Danio rerio: one gene and its partners. The protein of the gene in region 1 interacts with the protein of each later gene in a biochemical or structural test. Links are inferred from orthologs where the notes say so. Each region holds a gene or a part of one and is shown in the gene's direction. Other genes may lie near its edges.

The links. The genes of interacting proteins can lie anywhere in the genome.
Region 2: the proteins of tfap2a (region 1) and kctd15a form a complex in vitro, tested with the Homo sapiens proteins (2 studies listed by BioGRID, with this or other methods). The link is inferred for Danio rerio from reciprocal best matches to the Homo sapiens genes TFAP2A and KCTD15.
Region 3: the proteins of tfap2a (region 1) and eps15 form a complex in vitro, tested with the Homo sapiens proteins (2 studies listed by BioGRID). The link is inferred for Danio rerio from reciprocal best matches to the Homo sapiens genes TFAP2A and EPS15.

Annotation. Positions count from the first base shown.
Region 1 is NC_133199.1:9,069,335-9,072,780, reverse strand, and holds the end of tfap2a (transcription factor AP-2-alpha), read left to right. Parts: intron 1-813; coding exon 814-955; intron 956-1,536; coding exon 1,537-1,825; 3' UTR 1,826-2,940; downstream 2,941-3,446.
Region 2 is NC_133200.1:21,631,488-21,635,556, reverse strand, and holds the start of kctd15a (BTB/POZ domain-containing protein kctd15-like), read left to right. Parts: upstream 1-1,257; 5' UTR 1,258-1,714; coding exon 1,715-1,726; exon of another isoform or gene 1,727-1,980; coding exon of another isoform or gene 1,981-1,992; intron 1,993-4,069. UniProt on the Homo sapiens protein: During embryonic development, it is involved in neural crest formation. Inhibits AP2 transcriptional activity by interaction with its activation domain.
Region 3 is NC_133183.1:18,336,755-18,341,011, reverse strand, and holds the start of eps15 (epidermal growth factor receptor substrate 15), read left to right. Parts: upstream 1-1,445; 5' UTR 1,446-1,463; coding exon 1,464-1,490; intron 1,491-4,257. UniProt on the Homo sapiens protein: Involved in cell growth regulation. May be involved in the regulation of mitogenic signals and control of cell proliferation. Involved in the internalization of ligand-inducible receptors of the receptor tyrosine kinase (RTK) type, in particular EGFR.

The DNA of each region.
Region 1 (3,446 bases):
ATTATAAAAAATAAATGAGTTAATTATGTTGCACTGCGAAGATGCCATTGCTTTTGAATAAATCCATTTTGCTTGTAAAGTTGGAGGTGATTATTCCGTGCAGTGGTATTTGGTGTGCCATGGGTTTTAAAGGTGAAAGCTGGAGACGGTTCATTGGTTCCTGTTAATCATTGACGCTGAAGACTGAATGTAATATTCATCGTGCTTCATTGAAATTTAGTCTTGTATGGTAATGAGCCTGAAGAAATGTATGATTCCTGTGAGATAAGGGCGAGGGGTGGGGGTGGTGGACACGCAAGCAGACGCTGATTTAGTCGGAGGACACTGGCTTTCTGAAGTGCTGTTATTGTTTATGATCTGCTCCATTTTATGGAAAGCAGTTTAGAGTTGAGCTTTGATGCTAATTGGCGCATGCGTTCTTCCAGATTCTAGGCTTATGACAGGAAGGCTCGCAGTAAAAACCCAACTGTTTCAGGAAATTAAAACCAAAGACTTTAGTAAAAATCAACTAAGCACAGACCTATTCGTGGAAGCCTGTCATGCATATACCAAAAGTAGGCCTATAGGAAGAAGGTTTACTTTTAGTCTAAAATCTCAAAAGGGAGGTACATTCTAACGAATTTATGTGGCAGACTTATTATTATTAGTTTAGGTGGACTAATGGAAAATAAAGATGCATTAATATAAAAAAGGACTGAGAGCCGTATCCTGGTTGTTGGACGAAAACGCTAATTAGATGAAGATCATGAAAAATGTAAATTACTGTACTGCATTTTAGTAACGTTACACAAACTGACTACCATTTTCTTCTAGGTGAAGCTGTGCATCTGGCCAGAGATTTCGGTTATGTATGTGAGACTGAGTTTCCAGCCAAGGCGATAGCTGAATACATGAACCGACAGCACTCCGACCCAAACGAACAAGTCCAAAGAAAAAACATGTTATTGGCTACGAAGTAAGTGCTATTCTCTCTATCCAAAAGCCAAAGCGTGTTTCATTGTTTATGACCTATTTCCGTGTTTATTTGAGCATTCCTTATGCTGGATCGCCTATACGTGTACTAAAAATTTGTTACATTTAGATTTTAATAAACAGAGCTGGTTTAATTCCTGCTTTTTGGAGCCGTTTGGTTTTATGAAGTATATTTCAAATATTCCACGAAACGGTATGCTTTCTGCAATGAAATATATCGGCATATTTGATGCAATAAAAAAAAAAAAAGTTTAAATAAAAAAGATCAGCACCAGTGTCAATTAAAACACATAAGACTGCAAACAACAACGATTTAGAATAAAAACATACAAGACGACTCCCTCATCCGTTTCTGACATAGATGCGGCTCTCTTAAGCTGAACGTGAATTGTCCATCGCTATGACACGACACTGCCCATCCAGCTACTGTCAAACGGAATACGTGTGTCATCGATTAAAGGACACATATGGACCACATAGTCTTACTAATACATGTATGACGTCATAGCATCAGCTGTAATTAGCTTCCTCCTGACACGCATCCTGCATTGTGTCTCCTTCTAGACAAATCTGCAAAGAGTTCACGGACCTGCTGTCTCAAGACCGCTCGCCCTTGGGGAATTCACGTCCACAACCCATTCTCGAGCCCGGGATTCAGAGCTGTTTGACCCACTTCAGTCTTATTTCTCACGGATTCGGAACTCCGGCCGTCTGTGCGGCCCTCACAGCTCTGCAGAACTATCTGACGGAGGCAATTAAAGCAATGGACAAAATGTACCTGAACAACAATCCCAACAGCCACAGTGAGACGGGGTCGAAAGCGGGTGACAAAGATGAGAAGCACAGAAAGTGATATCCAACCACCACCTCCCAACTAATATGACAAACTACATATAACAAACACACTAGTGATCAAGATGAAACACTGAACCCACCACCTTCCGATCTTGGCATTTAGTTTTTTTTTAATTAATAAAACACACAGTTAATTCTGGGATTTGCGGACAATGCACTTCTCTAAATCAGTAAAGCAGTGTGCCAATGAAAGGAGTACAGATCTGCCACAACTGGACTTTTCATGAACTTCCTTTGTATGAGTTCAACGGACTGAAATTCAGCGATTTCCCTTCAGTATCCCAATTTACGATTGTAGCCATGTGACAAGAAGAAGCTGAAAGAGGAAGATTTTCTATCAGTATTGTGAATAATAAACTTGAAAAAGAAATCTACAGCTCCATGCCATGACTTTTAAAAACTGACTTTTCACTCGACTAAGCGACCAACTTGAACTTTGAATTTCAACACGATTCACGGTTATATGAGGGAATCTGTGTTCATGTATGTATATATTTATTTATGTGTAATTTAATGGGAAATGTAAATATGGTACGTCTGTTCAAACTTTTTTTTTATTTATCTGGTGCCTCCTGTTTTAGTGGGTTTGAATATTCGCTTAGTTCTTCATGTGGTTTTATGGTTCTTAGAAAACAGAAGTTTGGGGTATTCTTCTCTGGGATATTTCAATTCAGCCCTCTTGTAGCATGTTGAGGCGACACTGAAGCAAGTGAACAAATTGAAAAGAAATAAACATCCATTTTCTACATATGATCCTTATGCCATTCAGTTTTAGATCGAAGAAGGTCATTAAAGAGACCCCGACGATGCTAGTTTTGTGTTTCTATCTTCTTGTTTTTTTTATACAAGCTTTTTATGTGTTGTGCCAATCACCTCTTGTTCTTCCCTCAAAGCACCACAAGAGCAATAAATGGATATTGTCTATGGATTTTTTTTCTCTCTTTAGAATAAATTCAACATTTGGGACCATCTGATATTTTGTGTGTCCACTGTCTAAATTGGAGGCGGTTTTATCTGTATTGTATAAACCTGTGCTGGCAATAGCTCCCATGCCTGTCAATGTATTATAGTTCTTTGTTGCCCAGAAAAAAAATAAATATTTGATACGCTTCATGTCGATTTTTATTCATTACTTTTTTTATTCACTGCTTGCTGCGATTTATTCCTCTCTCTCTTTTCTATTCAACACAGTTACTGTAATTGAGTTTAACTCTCCCTTGACGATTGCTCCATGCAATAAGCAGTTGAACCCATTGTTTCCCTCAAATATAAAAAAGAAAAAAAAAAACTTACTTTCAACTCTTAGTTCAGAGAACAAGATCATTCAAATATGGCAGGGAGCTTTTTTGCCAAGCCAAATGACACAGAAAACAATGAATTCTTTTTCGTGTTTGAAGTGAATGTGTGTAGTTTTAGCCCTCGAGCAAGAGTGCTCTTTAAATCAGTCAGATGTAGAATCCAGCTGAAGGTTAGTGCAGTTGCCATTTCCATGCCTTTATTTGTAGACGCCACCTTACTTTTCCTGATACACTGTCAGCAATGCCGTGATAAATATTTATGTCATTGTAATGTAAATCTATGGGTTTGCTGAAATCAGTTTACAGTTCGTTGGAATTAAA
Region 2 (4,069 bases), on another chromosome or scaffold:
GCTTAATCAAAAATTCTTAAGCCTTTTTGGGACAATTTAATTGTTTTACGTAAAACTAACTTAAATTTGCAAAAACAATGATGTTAACTTATTCGACTTTTGTTGGGACAACAGGAAGGAATTGTGTGGAAGCCTGCATCTTTTTACAGTGTTTTCCCCTGTTTTTTACTTTTAACCATTATCCTGTTATACATTAACTCATTGCAAATTAAATAATAAACTAAATTTTAAAAAAGGCCAAAAAATAATAACGGTTGTGGTAGGTTTGGTCACTGGTTGGCGCCAGATGTCAAGGTAGAGAATAAACATTTCCAGAGGGACAACATTGCAAGTGTCAAATGTGTTGAAATATGAATTCTGGTGTCCTTGAAGCATTTATATGATATCAAACAAGAACAAGAACGCACATAAAAGCGACTTTTAGGTCATGAAACGTTTATTTAAATTATAGCCTATATAGTTCTCAAACTGAATTCGTGGAGGGCCGCACATCTGAAGTTTAGCTCCAACTCTAATTAAACACACCTGATCCAATTAATCAAGACTCTTTTGAACACATTGATTAATTGGATCAGGTGTGTTTTATTAGATTTGGAGCAAAACAGAGCTACGGCTCTCCAGGAATTCAGTTTGAGACCCATGATTTAAATGTGTAGTTATCTCATTTGACTTTAAATGTCCCACAAACATTAAAGCTTGTATTTTTTTATTTTTATTTTACTGTTTCTAAAACTGTTGTATTTTTTTAGCCTATTTCAATTTACCTTTTTCTAAGCGTCGACATAAACCTATATTCATACAGAACTCTGAATATATTCGTTGTGGAAATGCTGTAAACCCGTTTGTAGGCTGCGTTCACTTTGGTCACTGGTTGGCGCCAGATGTTAAGGCACAGGGCATTTCCAAGAGATGGAGAGTAGTATTAAAAGGGTCTAAAACTGTCAAATATGCTTTTTGTTAAAGCCTTTCCTTTTCAGCACAATGCGCCCGTCTTTCCACCTGAAATCTGTGTGCCATCGAGGCAGACATCTCTATCTAGCCGCGCGCAAAAATTGAAATGGCGCGTTTGGCCCGAGGCGGTTGTGTGGGCGCCTTTGCAGAGGCACAATGCATATCGATATACGTCATTTAGTTTTCATGGCCAGCAGAACATTATTAGGGCGCCGAGAGACACGTTTGGAAGCAAATTAATTCTTCCATTAAAATAGAAACATCAATCAAAAAAGACGTTCGTAGTTAGAAAATACAGTAGGCTATATTTTGTGGGTAAAGTGGTTTAATACAACAGCCTTCTTCTTTTTCCCACTGAAGGTTAGCCAAAGACATGCACACAGGTAAACCGTTATCCTCACACGCGCGCGCGCTCATCATATCTTTGTTCAGACGATGAATAAATAAATGACGATAAATGCGACGAAAAGACACACATACGCATCCTCCCAAATGCGAATAGCAAGATCAAATGTTGTTCTTGTAACTCGCCCCAGCTCAGGCAGGGTTGAGCTAATTGTAGCCTAATCCTGCCCCGGGGCGTTTGGAGAGCCTTGAGCAAGAATTCTTGTTCAGCTGTCCTCTGTTATTCGGGCTGGAACGCTGTGCCTTCAACGCACTCTCACGCTTCAACAAAAAAGGAGCAAGAAAGAAAAAAAGCGAGGCTAAGACACGCCACCATCGATCTCATGTTTTAAAGAGGGCTGAAGATACATTTACAGCTATGTCTTCCAAGGTAAGGACGCAGCCTTGACTGACTCCCCTGTGTAGCTTTTGTGGAAAGTGTCTATAGCAGTCTGTGTTTTAGGCGAGTTTTTAAAGCCACAGCGACCTATATAGCGCTGCGTTCGCACCGGCGTTAGATTTCCGCTGGATTCCGAACGGATTCTGTACGAAGAGCTCTTGGAGAAAATATTACCAAAAGTTCTTTCTAGAGGACGAGCAAGCTTCATCGGAGAATCCTCCTCAGATTGCGTCGGACATCCTAAAATGTTTGAAACGGTACGGTACAGATTCTGTCAAATTCTCGAGTCTTTTCTCTTTATTGCATTCGTTCTCAGTGTGTCGTGCTTTTGCAGTTTTAGATCAGGGAGGGCTGATTTGGGTATACAATGAGAGGTCAGAGCACTACTGTATGCCCATTGCGTACAGGAAGTGCGGTACATAGAGTTGTAGGGCTATTTTACGCACTCCTGAGACCTGGCGCAGTTATCATCAACTATTATTTCGGACTTTGATGAGATCTTACTTTGCACTCGCTCGTAGCGGCAGATTCCTTTTCACTACAAACATCAATAGTTAGCTTTTCAAGTCATGACATGATGTTCATACTATTGAAGCGTTATATATATATATATATATATATATATATATATATATATATATATATATATATATATATATATATATATATATATATATATATATATATATATATAACATTAGACATTACTCACTAAAAATGCAGTTCGTATTTTAGTCAGTTGTTGATTCAACCCTTTCTGAAAATGTCTGTTCATTGAATGAAGCATTTGGTGTTTGACTGATTCCAAGTTATGAGGCTTTTGAGTGACTCATTGAATGATTCGGCTCCCAGGAGTCGTTACTTCGTTTTTCTAAACTGCTACTGCTTTTGAAATATGGGTTTCTTATTACTGTGGCGCAGTATAGTCTTATAGGAACGAATGGATAAGGACAAATTAAAACATATAGCCTTGTAAAAGTTGTAAACAATTTTATAATTAATATAATGTCTTTAGCCGTGACTCTGAAGATTAATTGATGTTTTTTAGTAACAAAAATGTAAATTTTATATATTAATTCTATTATTCAATTTCACTTAAACTAACCATAATAACCTGCAGTTCATTGACTGAGATGTTGATTCAAACCGTTCTTGACAAATTCAGCGTTCATTCATTGAATAATTTGACACGTTGATTCTAAGTTATGAATCTTTTGTGTGATTCGTTAAAAGAATTGGCTCATAAGAGTTGTGCTACAGGCAACCTGTCAGGCTGTGTTTGATTTTTCGTAATTTATAAGAAATTTATTTGAAATGTTTATTTATTGGTAGACAATTTTTTAAGTTCAAATTGAAAATGATTTATTGCTCACACGTGGGATACAAAAAAATAAAAAATAAAACCTGATGTTTTAGATGCAATTGAAAATGTTTAGCTAATATTGTAGCTTATTATTAACGTAGTGTTCAAGTATTATTAATATTGATTTTTATGAACAAACTTTTCATTCAGTTAAGAATTCAACAGATTTGCGTGACTCATTAAAAAAACGACTCATAAGAGTCATTTGTTCATCATTGGAATGCATGGGCTTCATTTTGTTTGTCTTTTGGATCTTAACATTTGAAATTTGCATTCTTGAAATTGTTTCACAGTATTTTAATAACATTTTAATGACATTTGATAAAAATTATCCAACATTCATGTCTTTATACAAAATAAAATTAGCAGTTTTTTGGCTAATGTGAAAAGTGTGTCAGTTTTCTGGACACTGCTATTCAGGTCAGAAATCATTTGTTGACCAACAAATACGATGAATTCGACTTTTTAAGTGACTCATGATAAGAACCAGCTCAAATTAAGAGTCATTTGATTGTTATGATTGTTTGTTTTCACATAGAAGAAATTGAAAATCTATTTTTCCCATGTAATTATTTGGTGGTAGTCAGAATTTTAATCAAATATAATTCAAATGAATGAACACTAACATACTGAATACACATTTTGTCAGCTGTTATGCTGCGAGTCCATTTTTTCGTAAGTAAATCCTGTTTAGTTTCAAAATAAGTCTTTAAGATATCTTTATATTATTAAACTTATTAATTTCAGTAGCTTTAAATGCAACTATAGCTAAAACATGGATACATTTACATTATTTGGCCTTTCATAGATAAATCTAAAGGCTTAGACACAGTCCACAAGTCTTTGACGTACAACTATGGGCAGACTTTGCTCCAGGCATTGTGCTTCCAGAAATGGGACTTTAACCATCTGTTTAGGCAGGATTGTTCATTTCTCCAAACAAAAGGTTGATTCATGCCACAACAGCAGTC
Region 3 (4,257 bases), on another chromosome or scaffold:
ATGTTTTAAATGATAATATATCTCTGAATTCAAATCTACAGTGTGGCAGTAGCGTTCTGTCATGTTGAGAAATTATTCGACAACAGACATGAAACATCACAAGCTTTGTATTAAATATTGTTTTTAATGACCCAGTTGTGAAATATTTTAAAGCCTTAAAGTAAAAGATTTAATTTATTTTAATTTGAATTAGAGAAGTGGACACTTTTTTCTCCTTTTTCTTATAAGTGGAAACAAAAATGTTGAGCATAGAAATGCAAAGTCAAATTTACAGTGGATAGCACAGTAAACAGGTCTTGTATTTGCTTATTCAGTAATCAATACTCAATGTTACCATAATGCAATTAATTTATTTACAACCTAACCTATTAGTTATTTTTTAATTTTATCTATGATTATTTTTATATTATTATTATTATTGTTGTTATTATTGTTGTTGTTATTATTATTACCCTTATATGGGTTGAGCCCCTCTAAAATGTAAGTAGAATCTCCTCTTATGTTTATTCATTTATTATTCATTCATTTTGACACAATCTACATTGTAAAAGTGCTATGGAAATCAAGATGAATTGAATTTAATTGAATTTTCCTTTAGCTTAGTCCCTTATTTATCAGGATTCTCCACAGCAGAATGAACTGCCAACTGTTCCAGCATGTTTTATGCAGCGAGTGCCCTTCCAGCCACAACCCAGTACTGGACAACACCCATACACTTTCATTAACACACACCTTTAAACCACGGACAATTTAGTTTACCCGAATCACCTATAGCGCATGTTTGGACTGTGGGGTTAAAGCAAAGCACCCAGAAGAAACCCACAGGAACATAGGCAAACTCACACAGAAATGCCATCTTTCCCAGCCACGACTTGAACCAGCGACCTTCTGTGAGGTGACAGTGATAACCACTGAGCCACCATGCCACCTATTATTATTATTATTATTATTATTATTATTATTATTATTATTATTATTATGATTATGATTATTATTATTATTATTATACCCTTATTAGGTTTGAGCCCTTCTAAAATAAAAATCCTAGAATTACTCTTCCTTATATTCATTTATTATAATTAATATTATTGTTGTTAATATTATCATCATTATTATTATTATTAGTATTGCTTGAAAATCTCATGAATAAAAAATATCCGTGAAAAAAAGAGGGATCTCGCATTAGTTCACCACTTCTTCATCTCCTGATCCAGGTATTCCCTCTCCGTGTTTTATTTTATGTCCTCCTGTTCCACTAAGAACTCTATTCCAGTGTCTATTTTGTAAGGCGCCATCACCAGTCATTGGCTGTCCCATCATCACCAACAGATCCACCGAACAATGCACCGCCGGGTTTTGTTTTGCTCCAATCCACCAAGGACTCCAGTGCCAGGTTTTGTAGCATACCTATATTGCCCATTGCCTATCGCAACGCAGGATGAACTAGTGGGAACAGAAACACTATGGCTGCCAGTCTCTCCCTGACTCAGGTAACCTCCCTTTCTACACAAATATAGCACTCTTCAGGCCACTTTCCAGCGGTTCTAATGGGTTTACCAGATCTGTTGAGCTTTAAATGTGCGCTTTAGGGCGGAAAGCGATCACAGCCCGCTGTCTGGTCGCAGCTGTTTAAAGTTGTTTTCAGCCATTTGCTTGTGGAGAGAAAAAGTTTCAGTGTGATCTTTTAGGGACTTGCGTTAGGGCGTAGCTTAGTGTGTCAGTGTTAAACTAGGGTGGATTTACATGTATTTTTTTTCTAGCTTTTTTCGTAGCTGCTGTTCATCTAAAGTGGCAACTTTTGTTTGTTTTCTTTTTAAGGTCATGTTTCTTTAAAATGTCTCGCATATGGACGTGTGGAGGTTCTTGTAAAACTGTCGTTGAAAACTTGAAAGAGGAGCTGCAGTGATGATTACGACTTCATTTTATGGCACAATGACCTTTAAATGATCGTATTAAGGCCATTTTTTGACATACATTGGGTTTGGTTTAGTGGTGTGTAATGTATTAGTATATGGCAGTCTGTTTATAGTGGCATTGTAAAGCAGCAGGAAGTTTTGCTGCACTGCTAGCTCAGTGTTTCTCTATTCATCCTTTTAAAAATAGGAACTAGACATTGTTTGGTGCTAATATAGTCCAAAACGTCTGAATTACATTTATTGTGTGTATTTTTATTTTATAAACTTTATTGTTCTACTCGTAACAACTTTTTTGGGATTCTTTTCGACTGTTTAAACTAGTTAGCCTGCTAGCTAAAGCATTTTTGACACTCGCCCGCTAGCTGGCTAAACTGATGGTCAACCTTCAAAAAAGGTTATAGTTGAGTAATATAAGTCAAAAAGTGCCAAAAATCTCTAAACATTTAAGTAGGAACATATTTCCTATGTGCTCTTTGCATGTTCTGAGCAAATATTAATGTGACATTTATAGATAATATCTGACTGCATGTGCATTCTAGATGCATGTTTTTCTAGTCCACAGGGAATTATGCATTGATTGAACTGATGGTCTGAAATGCTCCTCACTTTGCATCTTGTCTTTTTTATTGCTTTAAGAATAAGACGTTTCTTTAATGGCAGTGGTGGTTGTAGTGTTGACCACATGCAGCTGATGGTGCTCTTAGTTTAGAAGCAAAGCACACATGCATGAAATATGCATTTCAGCATTAGCTCATCGAGAATACTAGGAGGAGAAGGACATACATCTGTCATGTCTTTAGTGTTTTCTGTGCAGCCAAAGAGCATAGGTTTGGTAAGAACTTATTGCAAGGAAACAGGAGGTAAAAGAGCATTTCCAGCGTTATGGATGTGACATTTGCAGTAAAAACTCAAAACATAAATTTACAAAGAAAATATATATGTTAACATTATATTGAAACATATGTTTATATTTTCCAGAACAACTGACCAGAGTTAGGAGATCAGAAAAATATCAATCTGTAAATATGTTAATACATTAAATAAGGGAAATAAACATGCGTTGTGGACGTGACCAAAAAAGGATGTCTGAGTTATACAACATACTTTGTAGAAATTCTGTGAGTTAAACGGCACATTCCAAAAGAAATTATGCTAGTCAAAAGTATAAGAGTTGGCTCTCTAGAACAAACATAATTGATTTTATTTTATTTAATATTTTTGCATTTATGCGGAAAAAGTGTGTCGTTATGGATGTGACTGATGTGAAGTTGACTTTGGTAAATCAATTATTATAGTTTAAAAACAATGAGAGAGATTTTTAAGTATTTCTAAAGTGCGGTAAAATACTTGCTTACACAAAACACTTACTGTAGAAATGGTTACCATATTTTGGTGAAAACTTATTTTTTTTCATGGCAAGGTGGACATTTGCATGGAATTGTTCAAAAGCAGAATTATGTATTTGAGTCACAAAGCCTTTATCTTAAAAATTAAATGTGACTGATTGTTTTCTGCTCGGCTATATTAAGTTATTGCATGTTTCTCATATTTGAGGCCATAATACTCCAAATGTCTCTCTTATTGCTACATTGTTCTGTTGTTGATTCTTCTAGTCTGTTCAAGTTTGGTATAGATAAAAAACCATTGGGTAATAAAAAGGGTGATAAAAAAGGGAGTGCAACCTTAAACCTGGTGTTGTTATAATGGCAATATCTATAGATAACAAAAATGTTTGATTTCATAATTGTAATTTCATTAATTTCTAAAATTAAATGTGAAAAAAAATCTAAAACGAGTATTGAACGTGTACACACGGCAAATATAAATACTTGGAAGCAGCCATGAAATAGTTTTGTTTTAAGGAATCCCACTATCACAAAACATTTATCGCAATCAGAATGTTGCTTTTACAAAAACATGCATCTGTGATGTTGTGTAAATAAACCTTTAATCATATTATACTTGTAGTTATAATACTTGTTATTACATTTGACTGTTCCTAGAGTGTGTATGGGGTTTGGTTAAACAGCCTTTTCCTCCTTTGGTCCTACATTATGGAATGAAATGCAGAGTGTTATCATGTTTGAAACAATTCCATCTCTAAATGTTTTGAAAAATCTTTTGGAGTCTTATCTGGAAGAATCATGTGAATATTTTGCCTATATTTTAATTAGTGATATTTTATGGTCGTCTATTTTTGTATATAAAACATTTTGTGCTGCCATTCAGGCACGTGCACACATAGGGCTCAACCTGTGCAGTGCACATGCCCTTTTTAGTCTTGGATAGAAAGTGCCCTTCCAAAATGATCAAAAGTGCCCCCGCGACGCGGCACACCCTC